Regions from separate parts of the Mus musculus genome. Here region 2 is reported to be linked to region 1. Evidence: microRNA targets listed by miRTarBase, many of them from high-throughput screens and not tested one by one. Region 1 holds a microRNA gene; the other region holds the end of a gene's coding sequence.

Region 1 (3,302 bases):
CTGATTCCAGGATAGGAAATGGTAAACCTGCCCTCAAGTTCTAGCCTTTTATTATGTTTGTAAAAGAAAGCAATAGGCTTCAAATCATACCCTTCCCCTTACAGAGTGCATCAGGTCCTCAACTGCCAGTAGTATAATCTAGTTCAAAGGAAGGAACACTTAGTTTGGTTTTTCGGTTGTTGTTGTTTGTTGATGTTGTTGTTGTTGTTTCTTTTTTTCAGGATTTGAAGGATGAAGCATTTAATTACGCGTTCTGTAATTAGTTTTTAATTCTCACAAAAGGCACATGGGGGATGTGGTATGGTGGTCGTGTGCCATGCAAAGAGGCCATAGCATATTTCATATTGAAGGACTGGCCCAGGAAAGGGGTCCATGGAACACAGTTCGGGATCACCTTCATCTCTGTGCATCTACCGGAAATCCTAAAGATGGCTCCCATCAGAACAGTGAAGGAGGAAGGCAAAAAGTCTTTACAGATCAGAGTTTGCCAAGGCTTTCGCCCAAAGAGCTGACAGCTTAATTACCTTAGTTTTGTGGGACTATCGGTCATCCCCCCAAGAAGGAGGTAGAGCATCGCTGGGATGACATTTTTGCATTGGACAGTCTCAGAAGCCATGGGGCTTGATTGTCTCTTTTGAATTCTCCCTTCTGCCAGCGTTCTACATTCCTCACACACACACACACACACACACACACACAAATGGTTCCTTCAGGTAGCAAGCAATTACCGAAAGCTTCTCAAATATGAGGGGCCGTGAGGTATATCCAAGGCAATCAGGACCAAGAAGCCTGCTCTCCAGGCCCAAGACCAAACAGTGGGGCAGTAGTGACTGTGCATCCTCCAGCTCGCTCAGTGGGTGGGTGCCTGAGCAGGCGTGGCCCTGTGGGTGGGTGCCTGAGCAGGCGTGGCCCTGTGGGAAGAAGAGCTGATTTTCTGTATAAACTATAAAGTGACTTAGATCCCTTTTTTTTTTTTTGCCTCTGCCTGCTCATGGAAGAAAAAGGGCAAATGGACAGATTGTTTGCAGAAAGTGGCCTCAGTTATTCCCCCCACATATCCATACCTGTTTGCAGTATGATTCTGCAGTCCTTCCCATTAACATCTGTTTTCCAACTTCCTGTGTCTGACCTGGTTCCATGCTTTGCTTGGCCAGGGGAATGTTAGTGCAGTAACATGATGAGACCCGTGCCCAGCCTGTACTTGAAAGGACCTTGAAATTTTTTTTTCCTTGGAACCATGCCCTGCTAACATGCAAATGAGAAGCCCAGGCTAGCCTGCAGATCAACAAAACTATACTGTTATAGATGTGGATCTGAGTCCAGAGAGGGTGGCTGCTGAGAGTGCTTCTATCTGGACCAACTAACTGAACCAGGGACTTGTGTTTGATAGAAATAAAGGCAGTTAGTGAAAGAACAGAATGATGCTCTTGAGGATGAAAGCCAACAAGAGAGCCTGGCCAGTCCTGAGACATGCAAGTGGCTAGCCAGTAACTTCTCTGGGAAAGCTCAGAGAGTCACATCTGTTCTTTTTTGTTACGTGCAGCCCATGCCCAGAGGGGTTTCCAGACCTCTATCAATTGACTGCTTCATGATAATCTTGATCTTCACACACACACACACACACACACACACACACACACACACACACACACACACACTATTCTGTGACAAAATGGTCTGGTCCCCACCACATCTCAGTCAACACCCAGAATTAATTCAGACTTAAAACTTCCTAACTGACTCCTGACTGGATACGCGGATATGCCTGAGCCAACCAAGGTCTACACTTCCAACCCACAGGATAAGGAATTAAATTAGTGGTGGAAAATCTAAACCACAAAATTCCCACAGCAAGTCTCTGTGGGACAGTATTTCATAGTCTATTCCAGTGGTGAAGGTGAAGCAAGATGGTGCCAGAAAAACAACGCATCTGGCTTCTGAGCAACACAGCAAAGGCAACGGTCCATCCTAGACAGTGATTCTGCACTGGCCACCATGCAGCCCAACCTTCTGTATCAGGTCTTGGTCCTCCCACCTGGAAGGCTGTGAATACCAGACCCCCTGCATACAGAAGCCCTTCCCCTGCCTTTGGAAGGAGCTCCACCCCTAAGCCATAAGTGCTTGTGCTCTGTCTCTGTGGTCAGGTCTCACTAGCTCAGTCCCCACCATTCACCTGCTCAGACTGTCCTGCTGGTCTGAGAGAGCTCAGATGGGGTCTCTGCCTCCTCTTCCTGGTCCTGTTCACTTCCCTGCTTTCTGACCCCTGTCTACACGCTTGGACAGGGACTGTTTGCCCAGGGCTACTAATAGCCTCCTAGGTCCTATGTTGAATGGCTTTATATCCATTTTCTTCTTAGTTAACATTACTTTAGTACTTGACATTTCTCTTTGATTTAAGAGGGCTTACTTACGAACACTTCTGAGAATCTTGTTTTAGATCTCCTTTTATAAAAAAAAGTCTCAAGGCTTGAACGTGATCATCACAAAGGACTTGCACCATCAGAGTCCTTTCTAAAGAAAATGATGCATCCTTTTCCAAAGAGATGGCTGCTGTAATATGCTAAATATGAGTTGCTTGGTTTTTATTTTGTAGTGATGTTAGGGTTTTCAAGGATACCACAAGAACATGGCACACAGAATCAACTAAGCAAGGCTTGTGGGGGCTCACAGAGATTGAACTGACAATCAGGGATCCTGTATAGGTCTGACCTAGGTCCTCTGAATGTATGTTATGGTTGTGTAGCTTAGGATTCTTGTGAGACTCCTAACAGTAGGAATAACGGTTGTCCCTGACTCTTTTGCCTGCTTTCGGAACCCTTTTCCTCCCAGTAGGTCACCTTGTCCAGCCTGGATATGAGAATTTGTGCCTAGTCTTATTGTAGCTTGTTATGACACGTTTTGTTGATATCTCTAGGAGGCTTGCTCTTTTCTGAAGGAAAACATGAAGAGTAGATCTAGGAAAAAGAGGAGGTTGGGTGGGAGTGACTGGGAGGAGTCAAGGGAGGGGAAATTGTAGTCAGGATGTAATATGTGGGAGAAAGAAAGAAAGAGAGAAAGAAAGAAAGAAAGAAAGAAAGAAAGAAAGAAAGAAAGAAAGAAAGAAAGAAAGAAAGAAAGAAAGAAAGAAAGAAAGAAAGAAAGAAAGAAGGAAGGAAGGAAGGAAGGAAGGAAGGAAGGAAGACAGACAGATAGATAGAGTCAGGAGTTGAGGACTGAGACCCAGTACTGGATCTCCTGGCTGCCATTCTGTGTAAACTACTTAATATCTTTGAGTGGCATTCTATCATCTGTAAAGCACACAC
Region 2 (3,302 bases), not on the chromosome of region 1:
ACCAGCCAAGCAAGTGGATTAGAAATGGTGGCCACCTTGTCACTAGAGGATGCCACCTGCTTTCCTGGAAAGTGTCTGGACTGAGTGTGGCTTTGGAAAGGTGGCGATGTGAATCAGGGGAGCCAACAATTGACTGAGTCTGTTCTTCCCTTGCCTCTAGAACTTGTTCCTAGCGTTCTGCATCATGCTCACAGTGGTCTGTATCCTGGAGATTGTTGTGTCTGTGGCTTCCCTGGGACTAAGTCTCCGAAGTATGTATGGCCGGAGCTCCCAGGCCCTGGTGAGTGTTCGGGAAGGGGCTTGCTGGGCAATGTGGGTCTCCGCAGTGAAGAGGGGAGAGGAACACATGGGTTCAGAAGTCCCTGATCTTCCTTCATCCCTCACTGTCTGTGGAGTGTGAACCCATCTTGTGTCCCAGCTGGCTTCTGCTACCTTGTGCCTTTCTGTGGCTGCCTTCACGCTCATTCCCCACTTTGTCGAAGTCTGTTCCTCACTTCTCCTACTCTGCCCCTCACCTTTCCTGCCGGAGAGCTCCTCCTTGCTGTCATTCCCTGTCGGTCCCTTCTTCTGCTGCTTTCAAGTGCGGAAACCTCCTCGGGCGTCTTCACCTTCCATTCATGAATCTCTTCCTCCTCTTGTCTTTTCAGAATGAAGAAGAGTCAGAGAGGAAGCTTCTTGATGGGCATCCAGCACCTGCGTCCCCGGCCAAAGAGAAGATCCCTGCTATCCTGTGATCCGCCCACACCCACGTGTCCCTGTCCATAGTAATCCAGGGAGGACGCGACTGTTCCCAGGGCCTCTTCTGGCCCCGCAGCACACACCTACTTCTGATGTAGCCACTATTCAGCCCTCTTTCTCTCCCTCTCTCCCCACTGTCCTCACGCCAATGTCCTTTCTTCCACGAACAGATATTATGTCATTTTATCCAATGCCGATAAAGGAGAAACAACTTGAAAATAATACCCTCTCACAGAAAGGTGTGGGCTCTGCATTGAGACAGACAATGAGCCAGGAAAGGCCATTTCTTGAGTTGTCATGTGGGCAGAAGAGTGGTGGTGGAGCCTGATAAATACTCTGGCAAAAACAACTTGTGGGAGAAAGGGTTTATCTTATTATCCTGTCCATCAGTTGGCGGGGGGAGCATCAAAAGCAGCAGGAGCCTGGAGAAGCTGGTCATATCACACCCACAATCAGAAGCAGAGAATGGTAAATGTGTACATACTAGTGCTTGGCTCTCTTTCTCTTCTCTTAGTTCAGGATTCCATGCCTAGGGAATGGTGGCTCCAGTGGTGGATGGGTCTTTACCCCCCAATTAACATAATCAAATTACTCCCACTCCCACCACATATACATGTTTACTGAGAAGCCCTTCTTTCAGGTGATCTTACATACTTTTAAGTTGATTCTCCCAGAACCCATCCCACTACATGTTCAAGGGTCAGTTGCTATAGACAGGCCTGTAGGTTTGGGTCTCATGGAATTAAAGACATATAATTTGTTTAGAAGGTGAGACATCAAAGAGTGTGAAGTGCCAGGCAAGAAAGTAGTGTGAAGTGTTTGTCGAGTTTCTGTCAGAGGTAAGGAACACAAGGAAGTTATAAAGATGACACTGGGGGAGGGGCTCCGATTGCTATTGGTGCTTAACTAGTTGGCGCAGTGCAAAGTGATGAGCATTCCCCTGCCTCAGTGTGCACTGGCATTGTTGCCTGGTCAATAGCTAAATCTCAAGAAACTATGGCTTACTTAGGCAGGAGTACTTCTTAGTTTTCATTCATAGATGCCCAGAGTTCCACCTGTGAAGATTCCAGCCCATAGTATAGCAGGGGCAGTCCTGGATGCCTCAGAGGCCAAGAGAGGGCACAGTTTCATCAACCTCTGTGGTGGAGTTGAAGGTCATAGGTGTTATGTGTTAAGATAACTATGTTCCCCTCAAAATCTATGTTGAATGTGAAATCCCCAGTGGCTCGGAATGCAACCATGTTTGGAGATTCAGGGGAAAGACAGCCATTTTTGAGCCAAAAAGCCCCAAGTGAAAATTGTTAGTGCCTCAATCCCAGGCATATTTTTATTAAGTCAAAAAGAGGAAGGGAGTATGTTAGAAAAAGGAACTGATAATGTCTCAGTCAGCAAGCCTATCTGTCCTGGTACTATTCCTGAGGAGACATAAATGTATATCTTCTCAGCACAGATAGGGAAGTAACAACAGACCAAAATAAGAATACCACCAAAGTCCAACTTCCATGGCCCAGTGACTTTACTGAGGTTACTTATAGGAGTGTGTGTTAGGGGATACTTACAGGAACATAGAGGGCTCAAAGGCACCACCATCATCTAAAACCCTAACATAAGTGACACTTTGTAAGACCTGGGATCATGGAATTATCTACATAACTTTCAGGCAGTTTGATGAGTGGAGAATTTTCTCTAGGCAGTTTGGCTGACCTAAGCCTCCTCTGTAATCTTCCCTGCTCATATAGTTTTAGGGAGAGTGGGGCCTTGTAAGTTTCTGGAACTCCCTGAGACTTTTGAGTTGTTTATTTTTCTATTCTTAGCAAGCCTTCCTTTAGGGCGTTTTTGGTCTTAATGAGCTACCCTCCAGAATGAAATGTTCCTATTCAGAGGAATTTTCTTTGTAACTGTCATGACACTGTCACACTGAAGGGACTGTTGGGTTTCCCATCCACCTGAGCATCCTCTCTCCTCTGAAGCAGGACCTTGCCTCTCCCACTTGAGACACTGTCATTTCTGTTTCCACTTACAGTAGGCAACTCTAGTGCACCACAGGACAGCCCCATAAGAGTGCCCCAGTCTTCAGTTTTGTATATGTGCTACCTGGGGTGACTCTGTACATGTTGAGGAAGAGGAGGGAGAAACTCCAGTCAGGGAGAGAAAAAACTTAGTAGAAACCACACCTTGCTCTTTGAAATCATGAAGTTGTTAGGGGCAGGAGATGTGGTGTAATGTGAGTTTATACCCCAGGATATTTTGATGCTAGCATCTGTTAAAGATATGAAGAAATCTGTAGGTTCATAGAAAGGAAGGTGAGGCAAATTACCGTTCAAAGGATCTCGATTAGGAGAGTCATAGCATTATAGCCTTAGACAGCCATGGTGAGACCTTCAAGTGGAAGGGCATTAGGAGAGATAGCTGCCATATATAGAATGATGGGGAGTTGGAAGGAAAATAACCTCCAACTCCTTTTAGTTCCAGCCATTAGGAGGCTTATAACATTATCTCATAATTGCATGAAGAGGACCGGAAGGAAAAGACAAACATTTCTGTTCCATAGGACAAAGGGAGTT

Evidence for each region. The annotated mature microRNA mmu-miR-2136 reads CUGGGUGUUGACUGAGAUGUG and lies in region 1 at 1,689-1,709, opposite strand. An mRNA with a match to its seed (bases 2 to 7 or 8) in the 3' UTR can be bound and repressed. Matches are read on the target gene's strand: a 7mer-m8 pairs with bases 2 to 8, a 7mer-A1 pairs with bases 2 to 7 and ends in A, and an 8mer does both.
Region 2: the mRNA of Tmem176b is a reported target of mmu-miR-2136. Seed matches in the 3' UTR shown: 7mer-m8 at 742-748.

What each region holds. Positions count from the first base shown.
Region 1 is chr9:104,424,570-104,427,871 of GRCm38, reverse strand. Mir2136 (microRNA 2136) reads right to left here and starts at 1,759; the gene lies at 1,685-1,759.
Region 2 is chr6:48,831,485-48,834,786 of GRCm38, reverse strand. Tmem176b (transmembrane protein 176B) reads left to right here. Exons shown (of 7, transcript NM_001164207.1): 6 at 161-280; 7 at 648-976. The coding sequence ends at 734. Among named protein-coding and RNA genes, the nearest start is that of Tmem176b, 8.2 kb to the left of the region's middle.